Mytilus edulis: one gene and its partner. The protein of the gene in region 2 purifies or fractionates together with the protein of the main gene of each other region. This does not show direct contact. Links are inferred from orthologs where the notes say so. Each region holds a gene or a part of one and is shown on either strand. Other genes may lie near its edges.

Region 1 (9,218 bases), about 100 Mb from region 2:
TGACTTCATTTTCAGAAAACGACATCTGTAACAAACATAAACTTTTAGCTACTTCTTTACAAGCAGAACCAAACACAATGAAAGTCCCAACTATGTACTGGCTTCCGAAGCTGCACAAAAAACCTTACAAATATAGATTTATTTCATCTTCCAGCCATTGTTCAACTACTAAATTGTCTGTTTTACTTACTAGTACACTTGGTACAATAAAAAACCTGATAATAAATTGTTCAAATAAGGCCTTTGAAAATAGTGGAATTAATTACTTTTGGAGTGTCAAAAACTCGTTGGAAGTACTTGATAAATTGCATGCATATATTGGTGATTTTGAATCTGTTCAAAGTTTTGATTTTTCTACCCTATATACCACTTTGCCTCATATTCTTATTAAGAAAAAATTCACATCCCTAATTAACTGGGCATTTAAAAAGTCGGAATGCGAGTACATATGTTCAAACTCTTTTAGATCATTTTTTAGTAGCAATAAACAAAAGAACTATGTCAATTGGACATGCTTTGATACTATTTATGCACTTGAATTTTTACTTGATAACATTTTTGTTCGCTTTGGAGATTCCGTATATCGTCAAGTTATTGGAATTCCAATGGGGACTAACTGTGCACCACTTATTGCGGACCTGTTTTTGTATTGTTATGAGTTACAATTTATGACTAAAATTAGCAAAGACCCATCAAAACAACATTTGATACAAAAATTTAACAATACTTTTAGATATTTGGATGATATATTGGCTCTAAATAATGACGACTTCAGTATGTATACTAAAGAAATTTATCCTGTAGAACTTACTTTAAATAAAGCTAATGATAACAATGACCACTGCCCTTTCCTCGATCTTGATATCTATATCATAAACGGGAAGCTTAATACAAAAATTTATGATAAAAGAGATGATTTTTCATTTCCTATTGTTAATTATCCATTTTTAGATGGTGACGTTCCCTTGTCACCATCTTATGGTGTTTATATATCTCAACTTGTACGATTCGCTCGTGTATGTAACAATGTATTAGATTTTAGCGAGAGAAATTTATGTATTACTGAAAAATTATTACACCAGGGTTTTCGATATCACAAACTGGTCAAAACATTTACTAAATTTTATCACCGGTATAAGGAAATAATTCGTAAATATAACTCAACATGCAGACATCTTATACGTTCAGGTATTTCACATCCAAAATTTTATGGAAATATTCTTTATAAAGCACAAAAATGTCAGTATTCTCCTCAGAAACTAACAAAACCTTTAAATAGACTTATTAAAAGGGGATATAGTTACGATACTGTTGTCAGGTCATTAAAGATTGCATATTTTGGCTTTAACATTGATTCACTGATAGGGTCTTTGCATCGGAACTAAACACATTTATTTCTAAAAAAAACAGTTGTTGGCATGACACGGGTTATGTTCTTCTCATATATTTTATGATAGTATGATACTAAACCCCTAACGGGAGGGATTGTACCTGATATTCATATGATGAAGACATAATCTTTCAATCAGTTTAATTGAGGTCTGGAGCTGGCATGTCAGTTAACTGCTAGTAGTCTGTTGTTATTTATGTATTATTGTCATTTTATTTATTTTCTTTTGTTACATCTTTTGACATCAGACTCGGACTTCTCTTGAACTGAATTTTAATGTGCGTATTGTTATTCTTTTACTTTTCTACATTGGCTAGAGGTATAGGGGGAGGGTTGAGATCTCATAAACATGTTTAACCCCGCCGCAATTTTGCGCCTGTCCCAAGTCAGGAGCCTCTGGCCTTTGTTAGTCTTGTATGATTTTAAATTTTAGTTTCTTGTGTATAATTCGGAGTTTAGTATGACGTCCATTATCACTGTACTATTATGCATATTTTAGGGGCCAGCTGAAGGACACCTACGGGTGCGGGAATTCTCGCTACATTGAAGACCCATTGGTTGCCTTCGGCTGTTGTTTGCTCTATGGTCGGGTGGTTGTCGCTTTGACATATTCACCATTTCCTTTCTCAATTTTATTTTGTCAGATATAACTTTTGAAACATGTGCACATGCTATGGACGCCATTTTGTTATTGTTTACATACTGTAAAAAAGCCTCCAGAACCATGATCTGAACATTAACAGTCTCGGAATACTTAAATAAAGTCAACAGTAGTATACTGCTGTTCAAAACTCATAATTCCATAAAAAAAAAAATCAGGGTTACAAACTTAAACCGAGGGAAACACATTAAATATAAGAGGAGAACAACTACACAACACTGAAATGTAACACACAAAGAAACGGACCAAGCATCAGAAAAAATCCCACGATAATAACAAATATAACATCAAAACCAAATACATGAATTTGGGATAGACAAGTACCGTGACACGTCTTATCGCAATGTGAATTTACACTCAAAAATAAGAGAAAACAAACGACGCAACGTTAAAATGTAACACACACAGAAACGAACAATAATATAACAATGGCCATCTTCCTGACTTGCTACAGGACATTTTTAAAGGAAAAAATGGTGGATTGAACCTGGTTTTGTGGCATGCCAAACCTCGCACTTTAATGGCAATGTACAATATAACATTGAAATGACAACATAATATAACAGGACTACAATACAAATAAATAGGAGAACATATTAGACAAAGAAACACATGATTAATAGATAACAAAAAGCATCAGGTTAAACTTGATGCAATAAATTTTCATCAATCATGATAATCTTTATTGATATATATTCAAATGAATTCGATTTTTAAGGAAATATTTTTTTTTAACAAATACAATTTCAGTTCAGTTAAAAGACCGTGCTCAGGTTGTAATCTATTTATAGCCCACAATAAGCTTACCTGTGATAAATGTAAAAATGGACATTACTGTACTTCGTTTATAAAACAATTATAAAAGCTATTGATGGCGATACTTATTCACATAAATATTTGTGGCTTGAATTTTATAAACTGATAACAAATATGAGCATTTCATAATTAAGCAGCTGATAATTCTTTTAAACAAACGTGATAATGTATCTGGTAAAAACCCTCCAATCCTTTATAAACCCATGAATAGCGGTGGTGAAGACTTGTTTCATCAATCGGGATTTGTTCAACTCATTATTACAGGATATTCAGTGAATATTCAATTATCAATATATCTGCTAATGCCAGTAATTAGATACTTAGTAGTTTTTGCCAAGTTTTGGGTATCCAATTTGCACAAATCTACTGTACAATGGATAAAAATTGTTAAACTTTATATAATTCATTGTTATTGCAGCAAACTCTGAAATTGTGAGGCATACTAGGGCTAGTAGGTCAGTTTTGCTGGGCTAGTAGTTCTTCCAACAGGGCTAGTAAAATCATGCTACCAATTAGCCGTGGGCTAGTGAACTTATACAAAATTTCGTAACCCCTGATAATGGTAAATGGAATGCATGTTAAGACCATTAAACAGATTAAATTGTGAAATCTGATTGCCTGGGCTTATTCTTCAGGCTAACAAGCCAGTTAGATTAAATATCGGATTGATAAATTATAATTTGTACAAAAACATTGTTCAAATTATAATTTGTATTTTGACTTTGTACAAATTGTAATTTGTACAAAAAGTGCCTGTACACATTATAATTCGTAAAAAATTAAGCTTAATTTCTCTTATAATTTGTGTGAATTCATTGTAAGTAAATGATTTCTTTGTGGCATGTTGCCTTTACATCATCTTCCCATCCTTACTGTCGAATGGACTTTTAAAGATTATGCATGTCTAACCATTTTACATGACGATCTCATGTTCATGTTATAGCTTCAGATTCAATTCTCTTTTTGTTTCGATAGAAATTTAAGAAAACCCAACACCACTTGTCAGTTGGTATAAAAGGTTGCCAACAATCATAATACTTGATGCATCGTATGTTTGTATAGATACAAGGGAGAAATCATTTAACTTTAAAAGTGGGGTATTATGTTTTTTGTCTATTAAGTCAAATATTTTTCCGTGCAAAGCATTCTTTTTTTAGTTTTTCAAGGTGATCAATCTACATTTTTTTTTTCTCAAAATTTAACACTACAAGGTTTAGGGCAGATAATTATTAAGACATTTTGTTGTCACCTGTTTAACCACAATATTTGTTTTCATCCATGCAAAAAGGGTGTTGTAAGGGAAAATTGATATTAACAATGAGGAAAGTGAGGGAACATTCCTTTTGCAAAAGAGAGAACATTACCAAAGGGATATTCAAATGTATTTGTAAAAAACTACTGGCAATGCTGTGTCAAAAAAGCAAAAACATTTCGGACGCTAAAATCAAAATCAGAGAATAAATACGAAAACCAGACACCAAAACAGACGTAAAAAAAACCAACAACAGATGTTAACAAATCAAAAGCAGAGATCCAAAACAAAAACCGACATATAATTTCAAAAAAACAGTTAAAAAAAGTAAATAAAACACTTGAATAACGGAACAGACTTGAACATTGATGAATAAAAAAAAAAGACGAAAAAAAATGACATTAAATTTAAAACCAGACGTTAAAGTTCAAACAGAAAAAAAATAGAAAAAAAAAAATAATCCAAGACGATTTTTTTTATTTAATTACAGATGTCAAAATAAAAAACAGACATACCATTTATAAAAACCATACAACAGAGGACAAAAACGGAAATAGACACAAAATCTATAAAAGGAGTGAAAAACACAAAATTAATAACCAGAAGTTAAAGAAAACCCCACAGACATCAAAAACAAGAACAAACATAAAACAGGAAAACATTTGTCAAAAACGAAAACGCACATACCATTGAAAAAAACCCAGACAACAGAGAAAAATCTGAAAATTAACTCAAAAGAACGAAAACAGACATAAAACTAAAAAAAGTGTAAATTTAATATTACTAACATAAAAAGGAAGCAGACATAAAATTAAAAAGCACACGTTAAAAAGAAAAATGAAACAAACATATTAAAAAAAAAGGTCAAAAACAAAAATGGACAACAGTGTACAAAAACGAAAATAGGTACGAAGAAAGAAACAGACATAAATGAAAAAGGCATCAAAATAAAAATAAGCACGACCAAAAACCAAAACAGATTTTTTTTTTTTTGGACAATAATTAGGTCGTTTGTTTTCTCGTTTGAATTGTTATACATTTGTCATTTCAGGGTCTTTTATAGCTGACTATTCGGTATGGACTTTGACTCATTGTTGAAGTCCGTACGTTGACTTATAGTTGTTTTTTTCGATGTCATTTTGTTTATTGTAGAGAGTTGTCTCATTGGCAGTCATGCCTCTTTTTCTTTTGTTTTTATATATAAAAAAAAGAAAAGAACAAACACAGACATGAAATTAAAATTAAGATGCTAAAAAGTCTCAAACACAGGTAAAAAACGAAAACGGAAAATATACAAGAACTGGAGTCATTGTCAACTTGTAGCTTTATCATGGCAAACAGGGAGTCGTGACATTTAAAAATGCAGACATTTATTTTTAAAACACTTTCATTGCTCATTAATTAAAAAAAATCTATTCAAATTTATGTTCTAAAAGGTTGTTATGATTCACTAGCGAACACCCTTCATTTCTCCTCAACCGAAAGTAAATAAAATACGTTACTGTACACATTTTTTTATAGGTTATGTTGGTTTTAGGTCATATTACTAAAATAGAGTTATTTCCCTTCTCACCAGGAAGAAAATCAACATTGAACGATGTTGGTCTACATAATAATCACATGTATGATATTACCGTTGTTTGAGAGTGAAAAGGTAACGATGAATATTAGGAATATAGTTTCAATAATTCCCATAACATCATGAACTCCAAGGAAAATTCAACCGGAAAGTCCCTAATCAAATGGCAAAATCAAATGACAAAACACATCTTCTTCTTCTTCTTCTTCTTCCATATACAGTTCATACCACCATCTGGTGTATTATCGAACTGATGCGTGGTGCAGACAAACCAATATTTACAGTGCAGTTAAAAAATAGTATGTACAGTTAAAAATTTCGCACAGTCCTTAATACATCTTGGTCTTCTGCAACTCACACTTGAATGTGTCAATTGAGTTGCAGGCTACAGTAGTTGGTGGTAGACTGTTCCATAATCTGATGGCGTCTGGGAAGAACGAGTACTGGTAAAGCTGCGTTCTTGCGAATGGAACAAGGAATCGTTGGTTGTGTCCTCTTAATGTTGCTGCTGTTGGGATTAAGCAGGATGTTGGTATTGCAACCAAGTGGTTAACTATGCGGTACATCATTATAACTTTATTCGTTGCTCTACGCTCTTGTAGGGTTGGCCATTGCAGCTGGTGTAATAGGTTTGTTACACTAGTGGTTCGGTGGTAGTCACCAGTAACAAATCTTGCTGCCCTACGTTGTACCATTTCCAGGTTGTGGATGTTGTTTGCTGTGTGTGGATCCCAAATGATGCTTGCATACTCCATCTGTGGTCTCACAAGGGTCTTGTAGCAGAGTTCCTTGGTCTTTCGTGGGCATTGTGATATATTTCTCTGTAGAAAAGCCCTGGTGTTGTTGGCTTTTCTTACTACTTGGTCTATGTGAGTAGTCCAGTTTAGTTTGTGGTGGATGTTGGCCCCCAGATATTTTGCACATTCTACTTCCTCTAAGACGTGACCATGGATGATATATGGCTGTCTGATTGGTTTCCTCTTGTTGGTAATGTGAATGACTTGGCACTTTTTGGGATGAAATTCCATGAGCCAATCATTCTCCCATTCTTGTAGGGTTTCCAGATCTTGTTGAAGTAGTTCTGCATCTTTGGTGTTTTTTATTTCCCTGTACAATACGCAGTCATTGGCAAAGAGTCTAACTGATGATTTGTTGACTGTGTAATCTGGTAGGTCGTTAATGTAAAGTAGAAAAAGGATGGGTCCAAGGACACTGCCCTGAGGAACTCCTGATTGGACAGGTGCAGTATTGGATTTACCGTTTTCGAGGACGACATGTTATGTTCTTTCGTTGAGAAAGTCTTCAATCCAGCTATGGAGATTACCCCGTATTCCGTAGTGATGTAGCTTATGCATAAGTCGCTTATGAGGAACCTTGTCGAAAGCCTTGGAGAAGTCCAGGAGGATGACATCTGTTTGTCCGGTGTTATCGACTGTTTTGGCTAGATCCTGGATAGTGATTATAAGTTGAGATTCACAGGATCTGTGTTTACGGAAGCCATGCTGTGCGTCTGTTAGTATGGTGTGTTTCTCTAGGTGTTTCATTATGCTGCTCGTGATTATATGCTCCAGCATTTTACAGGTGATGGATGTGAGCGAGACAGGTCTGTAGTTTTCAGGGCGGTTTTTAGCACCTTTCTTAAATATAGGAACTACGTCTGCCTTCTTCCATTCCTTTGGGATCGCTCCTTGGTTAATGGATGCCTGGAAAAAGACTGTGAAGACTGGTGCTATTTCAGAGCCTACGAACTTCAACAGTCTAGCTGACAATCCATCTGGCCCAGTAGCTTTGTGGATTTTAAGGCCTTGTAGTAGTTTTAATACTCCTGGTTCTGTGATGTTAATGTTAAACATATTCGGGAACTTCTGTTTACCCATTGGTTTGATGTTGTCTTCTGGTTCGTTGGAATTAAATACCGATGAAAATTGGTTGTTCAGGATGTTCGCTTTTGCCGTTGGTTCTGAATATGTAAGGCCATCTGTTGCTTTAAGAGGTGCCACTCCACTGCTGTCCTTGTTTTTACTGTTAATAAAACTCCAGAAGCGTTTTGGGTTTGAAGTGCAATCTGGTGAGATTATGTTGGTTAGATAATCATTGTAGGCCTTTTTGCATGCTGTTTTTGTTGCAGATTTTAGATGTTGATACTTTTTCTTATCCCTTGATCTGTTTGATGATTTGACCCTATTAAAGCATCTTTTCTTACGCCGTGATAGTGCTTTTATCTCTTTTGTGATCCAGGGTTGACTAAAGCGGCTGGTGGTCATCTTTGATGGTACTGATGAATCTAGGATGTTAGTTAGTGCGGTGCTGATGTCTAGCCACATCTCTGCTATAGATGACTGAATAGTGTATTTGTCTAGGAATTGTTGTTGGAATTCTAGACATTCTTTTTTCAGTTTTTCATTATCTGCTCTTTTCCATAGGTGTATTTTCCGTTTTACCGGTTTCCCTCGTTTTGCAGCTGCTGATGATTCAATAAAGACTGCATCATGATCTGATATACCGGGTAAAGGAGAGCATCTGTTGATTAGGCTTGGCCGGTTAGTAAGAAACAAGTCCAGTGTGTTGTCCAGACGGGTGGGAAAAGTGACTGTTTGCTCCATATGACAGTTGTGGATCATGTCTAGGAGTCTTTTGTTGATACCAGAGTTTACTTTATTTCCTTGAATAGATGTTGAGTTCCAGTTAATGTCGGGAATACATCATTGTCATCAAACGAACAGGTTGGGAACAAACCCCCTGGATGGTGATTATACCTGTATAAAGGGATAAACCTTCTTTAGAGGGATAAAATTATCCCTCTATAGAGGGGTATTTGTGTTTGCACTAGATTTAAAGCAAATTAGGGCAGGATGGCATTTTCTAATTATATTGCCATTTTTATTGGCTATAATCTCTAGCACTAGGTGCATCAACATTAGTCCAAATAATTATGACGTCTGGGACGGCTATTTTTTTTTTTTTTAGGAAGGCGTCCCAGAAAAAAAATTAAAATAGCCTTGCCAGACATCATAATTATTTGGACTTAACTTAACTAAGTAATTGACAAAAACACCAGAAATGACAGAACTTTAGATCTAATGTGCATGACAAACCCATCATTTATCAACAGAGTTGAGACCCTCCCACCAATAGGAGGAAGCGACCATGATATTGTCTTTTGTGAAATCAACTTTGCTATACAACACCAAAACAACAACCACATAAAGCACTAATATACAAAAAAGCAAACTGGGAGAACATAAAGGAAGACCTTATTCTTATATATGATCATTTAAAAGCAAACAAGACAAATATGACTATCGATGATCTATGGACCACCTTTAAAACAAAAACAACAGAGACCATCAACAAAAATATACCAACTAAAGTAATTGGGAAAAAATCAAAATTACCATGGGTAAATAGAGACCTGAAAAGACTCATAAGAAAGAAAAACAAACTCTATAAAAAGAAAAGTCATGACTCAAAATACAAAAATAAATACAAAGAGATAAAAACCAAACTCCAAAAAGAGATG
Region 2 (8,544 bases):
TTTCTTATCTGTACTGAAAGCAGTACAATGACCTGTAGTTGTTAAAATCCTTGTCCTTTTTGTCGTTGCTAGATAGTTGTCTAATTGGAAACCGTATATCTCAGACTCCCTATTCTCATATAAATTGATTTTGAATATTAAATTCAAATTATATCATATTGTAAAAAAAAATTATACTTATTTGGAATTTTGTTGACAATTTAAATTTAATCTTTGTTTCATTTAAATCCTATGCATTTATGAATAACTTACACTCAAGCCTGATGAAACCATCCCAAAAGACAGAACTAATCTCATATTCAATCTGGAATGTAAATTAATCAATTTGAACATAAAATGCTACCCCAGGAATAAATCACTAGCTTTATTTGTAAAATCTCAGAATTATGGGTCAACAATGCCCTTCATCTTATTACTTTTTTTTGTTTTTTTTTTAATTTTTGTAAATATATTCAAACTTCATGTGTCAATGTATTTTCTTGTATTTTTTCTTTTTTACATTCATGAATTGTTTGTACAGACATGAGGAGTATGTATTTCAGTGTTAGTCTTTGGCAAGACAGCTCTTAAATCATAAAATATAGAAAACCAGCACTATTGGCTATTGCTTAGAAACTTTACTGTCATACTCATACATTTATAAGGCTGATTCTGCATACATCAATGATCAAAATATGGTGTGTCTTCCTCCAATTTAAGATTCTTCTTACCACTTGTTTTATTTTTAGAGGTGTTAACATAATACAATTAATACACAATAATTTATTATGAGTTATCTCCCTTTAGTTTCTTACCTGTCGCCAATAATTCCACTGATATAGAGTCCCTACAAATATAGTTACCATTTTAAATTATAAAAAAAAAAGAAACATACTTGACATTAAAATTTATCAGCAAACAACTAAAATTTTACACATTAAGAATGAAGATATAAAAGTCTAATTAAGAAAATAAAAAAAAATGTTGATTTCAATATAGTATCATTATCACGCTTGTCAATGTTATAACTTCTTTCCTTGAAAATCAGTTAATCTTTAAAAAAAAACACTTTCTGACAAAAATAATATAGTCTTAACTTAAGTAAAGGCATACCACGGCATAAGATATAAGAAAGGCCCCATCTAACATTCCAAGGAATGGTTCAGCATCTTTAGGATTGTCAAACATTGTGTGAGAATTCCATATCTGTCAAATTATAAAAGTATTAAAACATTAAAAATGTGTGTTGGTTACAGCCAATGATTCTTAAACTGATTACATTTTAGTAACAGCATCAGTTAATATACAATTGAATGCCATTCTAAAGGAATGTATTGGTGTAAAAACATGACCAAGTCACGCACAAGCAAATTCAAGACCACAGGACTTTTATGATATGTTTGTGAGTGACTGGTCCAGTTTATACACCAATAAAATTCCTTTAAAAAGGTGTATTATCCTTATAATTATTTAAAATTGGATTTAAGAAATCTATTTTTCACACCTGTAACCTCTAATACATGTTAATTGTATATTCATGTCATTGAATTGGCTTGGCGCATGAACATATTATTTACTAAATAAACTAGAATAATATCTCATAATCATTCAAATAAATGTTTTGGTAATAATTTTTTAATGGAATAACGAATGAAAGTTAAAATAAATTAAAAAAATTACGCTGAGCTTATTTGTGTTATCATCGCTGCCATCTTGATTAAATTGGTTACATAAAGGCATTCCATCAACTTTATCTATCTTTCTATATGGATCTATTGGAAATGGAGTAGCATTGTTTAAATCAGTTTATGAATATGATCAAAGTTTGTGGATAAAGTCAAACTTTACATTTCTATAAAATTCAAAAATTGAACAGGCCAATTCCAAAAAAATTTTTGACAAGAGTTAAAGAAACATGTTTTAAAGAAATGTGCAATTCTATATTATTCTTACCACTATAGATGCATTTGAAATCTCTGGGTTATCTGCTAAATGTTTTACACATATATTACCTTGTCTGGTTGTGTCTTGTTAACAGTAGAGTTATGAAAGGAAGGTGTCCACTCTGCCGAAATAGTAGTTTTGACATTGCTGAAGGTCTTTCTTGTTGCATGGAAAAAGGCATAACTAACAAAAGATAAATGTTTGAATTGTTACTTAAGTTAATAATTTATGTGATTTAGTAACAAACAGTTATTAAGAAGGACTGGTATTGAGTTTTGTAGTCTATATTTGTAATTTTCTCATGTGATTGCTTGTCAATCAGACATACAGATTTGACAAATTAAAAGATCATTTGAAAAGATATGATATATTAATTCATGACAAAAAAATCACTATACACATATTCAGATATTAAATGGACAATCCAAACAATGAACATAGTACACAGTGTATAATTGGAAATATTGCAAAAACTCTCATCATACTACATATAAATGTACATGTATTTTTAGACAACTCAAAGTTCAAAGTTCTTTATTTTCCAATTAAGGGCCCCTGACGGGACATAATGACAACAATACACAATACATTCTGATTCTTAACACATAAACATATAATGAAGATAAAATTAAAATTTTGATTCACATGAAGAGAATATCATAGAATATATATATCATATAAAATGTCACATCATAAAACAATTGTTATTGTTATTATTTATAAGTTATTTAAGTTGTCTCAAAGTTTCATATGTGATTTTTTTTTAAATTGTTTTTCTGCCATGCCAGAGGGCCAGCAAAAATAGTTTAATAATTTATTGATTCACCATACTAAATTGAGAATGGAAATAGTTTGCTAACAGAGGTCCACCTCGTCTCTTATCCATAAAAATAAGTTGAAGGAATAAAAACAACTCAGCAACAGAGGCCCCTTCAAGAAAAGCAAGAACTATCAATATATTTTAAAAAGTATTTGAACATCCACAAAATTTAAGTCAAATTGGGACCTCATTAATGAGGTTCCAAAGGTAGTTATTTCAGCACCAGTGTTTAGTATTGTGACAAGTTTTGTAACTAAACCTTGAACATGTTGAAGACTCTGTTTTTCTTCATATTTTTAAAGATTATTTCGCTTGTGGTGTCAAAGAATATGTCACTTTTAAATAACAGTAGTTTCAATGGAAAGGTTTGTTATAAACAGTGCCATAATATATAATCCTACTGGAATTTATATTATCAACTAGACAAGAATTGTCTATTTCAAAACAACATGTCTGTACAATTCCAATAATTGCTCCATCCATTGTGTTTAATGTTCTTTGATTACGACAGTTGGTTAATTTCCATGAGGACATGTACATCATAACAAGAGAAAACCATTTATAAACAAACCGCATGCCACAACAAAGTTACTGAGAACTGTCAAAAATCACACGCTTACCACAGCGTTATTCAAAAATCCTGGGGAGAACATTGATCGTCATGCACCAAAAAATACCATTAACATCATTTGGCAAGTATTTTAGCTTCGGTATTTTACAGTTATTCGTCATGTAGGTACCCCCGTTACCACCCTCTTGAAGCTGGTACATGTATTTTTATAGTGTCTCCAGATGAAATTATCAGTCATATTTTCAGATGTAATCAAGTCACAGCACAATTCCTGGGTTATGTTAATGATTAGCAACAGTAACAGGTTGTACATAAGATCTGACATATAAATAAATAAATGTTACCTAAAAAATGTTAGTAAGAAAACAACCACATGGTGTGATGTAAATTGAGAGGTTTCACTCTTCATCTTGAGTTTTTCTCAATTTGTAATCATTTCAATAATCAATGTTCAATACATTGTGATTACATTTACACTTTTTAAACTGTAAACAGTAAATGTTACACTTGACACATCTCTGCGATCATGGGACAAAATATAGTCAATGTCAAATCAGATCCCATTTCAAGAGTTTTAGAGGTTGTAGTTACTGTTGATGTCAAACGCTCGTCTGATGCCGAGCACCTGTCATTCAACCGGAAGTTTATATTTCAAAGGGACAACAACAAAAAAAGAAAACAGTTGCACATGGGCAAAACAATATAACATATATACCTAATGGAGAGATCAGATAAAATCAAATTAGAAAAGTTGCTCGGGGAGGGATCGTTCGGAATTGTATATCAAATAACAGATATTGAAACAAACAAAAAAGTATGAATCATTATAATTTGGAGTGAGCTGCAACAGTTGGCACATAATTTCTGAACAGCTGCCAACTGAGCTAAACAAAATCATCTGTCAAACATTTCATCCCCAAAAGGCCAGTCACGGGATACGTTTTTTCTGTCATATGACTTTCATCACCATGGCTGAGTTCGGTTTGCTGAGTTCACTTGAAACTCTCGAGTTAACTTGACTAACTCGGGTTTCAACAAAACGATTTTACTTGAACCACTCAAGTTAACCCCTCATACCCTGGTTCCAACCCTCACCGAGCCAGGGTTAAACTCGAGAATGATGTCAAACCAATGAGAATATTTTATTTTTTATGCTTGGTCAGGGCCTTGCCCTAGAGTTATTTAGAGTTGTTCCGAATATCAACTCTTGTGCGTTCACGTGAAAATCTATTAACTCTGAAGTCGATTGTAGAGTTTCAAGTGAACTCGCCCAATGTGACAAAAATGTATGCATAAAAATTTCCAAAGTAAAGTGCTCCAACACATGTTGAGCAAACGGGTGTCAATGTTTTAATTTATACTGCACAAAATATTAGGGAAATTGAAATCTAATAGGATGGTAACCCACCCTCAGTCATATGGCAATCACGGTGATGTACTTACGGAACATTAATTATTTATATACTACCCTACAGAATGACAATTATGAAAGTGTAGGAAACTTTTAATAGAGCAGTGATACAGGCGCGCCGTCTATCTGGTAAATGACGTCATGAAGGCGTTCGAAAAAGACGATCTTTTCCAGTGAAAGACATGATTCTAGAAATGACCTATAGTACAGTGTTTATGTCTCTTCTTTTCACAATGCTCCCAAAATTCTTCTAACAAATGAGGTAAAGTGCTTTCATATTTGTTCACACATCCTGATCCTAAGCTAAGGTCAATATTTAGTTTGACACAACTGGTCTCATTGTGCTATCTTGTTTCTACTTGAAACTGTAGTTTCCCTGGGTAATGTTACTTTGTAAACTTAGGTTAAATCGTTTAGGCACTTGATCAGAATTCTTCAGGGTATTGGTACATGTAGTACTTCATTTGCCACAGCGACTAACCTGGGTTAGCGCAGTTGGTACTTTTGGTATAGGCACAGTTGCTTCATTTGCTTTGAAATCAGCGGCCACCGCATACAGGCATGCGCCGCCCTCGTCAGCCTTGACACACTGCTAAGCAATCAGCCAGTCAAACAAGTATGGCGGAAAGTGCAATTTATGGTAAAATAACGGAATTTAAAGATGAAAATTGTAACATGTTTTAATCGGACCATATCATAATGTTATACTGCAATGGTCCTCTGTGACAATAATAAATTGTTGCCATATTTTAATTTCAAATTGTTCTCTCATATGTCTCTTTCTTCGCTAGTGCTAGTAGGGTCTGGAGATCTTTTGGGATGTTATGACCCAAGCTGTCTTTTCATTTCTTTTCATTCCTGTTGGTATCTTGTACAGTCAATCTCATTAATGAGATTGTTGTACAGTTAAGCAAAAATTTAAAGTGTTCTGTGCTTTCTTCATCCCCACATTCTCAGTATGGTGTGATGGAGTGGCCTATCTGATGGCGGTATTTTATTTAGTCTATTGTAGCCTGTTCTTTAGTCAGGCATGATTCTCCCTATAACTGGGTTCGGATAAATCAAACTTGTCAAAAAGCCATACAAAAAGTCATTATTATTTGGACTAATTCAAAGAATTGTTACAATGCCAGTTTAAATTATTTGTGCCTTCATGATCAATTGCTAGAAAAGATCATTTGCAATTCATCATGTTCATAGGTTGATAATACTACATGTACAGTTTACACAAAGAGGAATGCATGAGTCCTGGACTCATTTTAAAAACCTTCTCACTTATCATTATTTTCTAAATAAGTGAGTCCCAAAGTGCATCAAGAGTACCAGCTCAGTCCAGTTATTATTATTTCATCCTTTGTCCACAGCAAAAGTTAAAAGATAAACCTATTAAAATTTGATTTCATTTCCTTGCTTTATTTTGTCATGAAGACTTTTAAATTTTTTATGAATATGTTGTTACGTGATTGGAATCTGAATGTCCAAAAACAATAAGTAACTGGACTCACCTATGAAAATTCTTTCTGAGAACTCTGCGATAACATTGATAATGGTAATTGCCTATTGTTAAATGCTGTATGTTGACCCCTAATTATGTTTTTGGATTGCTGTCTGATTGATGCTTTAGCAACAACTTGCTTTATATATATATTTATATGCATTTGATTGTAGTTTGCCCTCAAAAGAATAGACTTCGGTGATCAAGAATCAGAACGGGAACAAGCTAAAAGAGAAGCAGATTTGTTATCCAACCTTCGCCATGATAATATCTTACAGTATGTTGAATCATTTGAAGAGGATGATAGCTTGTTTATCGTGACAGAATACTGTGAACGTGGTGATCTTGAGACTTACTTGGAATACAAGTCACAAATACAGGAACAGTTACCAGAAAATAAGATAGCAATATGGATCTATCAGATAGCAAGTGGTTTACATGTAAGTTAACATTTACCAAAAAAACATCAATATCACATGTATAACTTTACAGTTCAGACACATACCTACATGATGTACATGTAGGTATGTGTCTGTAGTAACATGTACATTACAAATCAATCATTTTCATGCACTGATTTTGTAAAACAATGTTCAAACCGAAATTAAGCCCTAAGTACATCCCATTCTTTACCAGTTAATTAATGTAGGTTTTCCTTTACCAGTGAATCAAATTCCTCAACAACAAAAAGTTTCATAGTAAACTTACTAAATTTTCATTTACAACAAACATTTTCCCAGTGCCTAGGCATACTGAGGACTATTGTACTAGTAAATATAATAGTCCCAGATACATGTTTATCGGTAATTCATATATTTTCCCATTGATCTTACTGTCTAATATTTTCGAGTATCAACGTACTGGCTGTATCACTGAAAATATTAGGCAATACATTGTGTGACGACATAATTACCGATAAACAGAATAACAGGCTCGTCTAGATATACCACATGATATAGTCAGTATCAAAAACGAAACTACCTATTATTCTATATATATTCTTATGTCTTAATCAATATTTGTGAAATATTTTTAGCATGTGTCATTGTGTTGACAAGAATTAAAACATATATATGTTATTTATTTATCTCTTCTGAAAGGTAAAAGTTTTGATGTTCATGCTGTTGTGAAGCCTCATTTTGTAACATACTCGCACAATACAAATTTATAATTTATACAATGTTTGTTTTTAGTATTTACATGAAAGAAAGATATTACACAGAGATTTGAAGACAAAGAACATTTTTATTATGACTGACTGGAATGTTAGAATTGGTGATTTAGGTATAGCAAAGTAAGTTATATTGATAGTAGGATGGAAACTTATACGTTGACCTCTTTGCAATATGAAGGAGATAACATCCTTTAATATTATATTAATCACAATGAAAGTAAAGGAAGTGGCTATAAATGCTGTTCATTTATTTTGATGAATACTGTACGTACATATATGTATATCTTCTGTGAACTGAAAAATATGATACTCTGCATTACATTTCAGATTTAATAATTATTGTTAGCCTTGATCTGTATTACTTCACTGAATTGAAAAATATGTTTCCCTGCATTAAAATTTAAGTTAAGGTGGTACCTAACACCTGAACTAAAATTAATTTGACTCGTTTAATTTTCTTTAAATTTTGACAAAGTATTTAGTTTGACCCTTTGACAAAAATATAAAAATTTCAAAAACTTTGAACCAACTGTTTAATCAGAAAAATTACACTGGTTATATAGCAGTTTGACAAAAACTTATTTTGATCATTGAGAAGCTTAATATTCCCTTAACAACACAACATCATTAAAACGTTCTGCTGATTTTACAGAGTTATCTCCCTGTAGTGTTAGGTACCACCTTAAAAAATGTATTTGATGAGTTATATTTTTTTTAATTTTGAATGTTTTAATTTACTGTACATTTGAAAATGATATGAAAATAAATGTTTCAAGCACTGTTTCACAGATGTTTAAAGATTTGATTTATAATTAAAGATAAAATATTTTCTAGAGTGTTGGATCTTGGTCAGAGTAAAGCTAACAGTTTTGTGGGGACTCCTGCCTATATGTGTCCTGAATTGTTTGAACAAAAAGCTTATAATAATCGTGTAAGTATAAAATGGTACTTGTACAAAGAATCACTGAATGTGCAAATTGAATGTATATATTACATTTTGACTGATATAAAATTGGGATTGAACAAAAAAGCCGATGTTGTTATTACATTTGTACCTTAAGAAAAATGTGACAGGGTCAAACAAATTGACCCTCCTCATGCACCAAGTTGCAAATTGGAAATTGGATGATTTTGTCTCAGCAACCTTTTA

Evidence for each region.
Region 1: the proteins of sugar phosphate exchanger 3-like (region 2) and all-trans retinoic acid-induced differentiation factor-like purify together in Homo sapiens (affinity purification with mass spectrometry; 3 studies listed by BioGRID and IntAct, counting the BioPlex papers as one, with this or other methods). This does not show direct contact. The link is inferred for Mytilus edulis from reciprocal best matches to the Homo sapiens genes SLC37A3 and ATRAID.

Annotation. Positions count from the first base shown.
Region 1 is NC_092344.1:119,473,093-119,482,310, forward strand, and holds the start of all-trans retinoic acid-induced differentiation factor-like, read left to right. Parts: upstream 1-5,646; 5' UTR 5,647-5,716; coding exon 5,717-5,773; intron 5,774-9,218. UniProt on the Homo sapiens protein: Promotes osteoblast cell differentiation and terminal mineralization. Plays a role in inducing the cell cycle arrest via inhibiting CCND1 expression in all-trans-retinoic acid (ATRA) signal pathway.
Region 2 is NC_092344.1:15,891,933-15,900,476, reverse strand, and holds the start of sugar phosphate exchanger 3-like, read right to left. Parts: upstream 3,883-8,544; 5' UTR 3,724-3,882; coding exon 3,659-3,723; intron 2,107-3,658; coding exon 1,992-2,106; intron 1,186-1,991; coding exon 1,093-1,185; intron 827-1,092; coding exon 795-826; intron 305-794; coding exon 253-304; intron 1-252. Other genes in the region: serine/threonine-protein kinase Nek3-like, read left to right, coding at 4,033-4,128, 6,394-6,660, 7,414-7,514, 8,229-8,325. UniProt on the Homo sapiens protein: Unlike the other SLC37 members, lacks glucose-6-phosphate antiporter activity.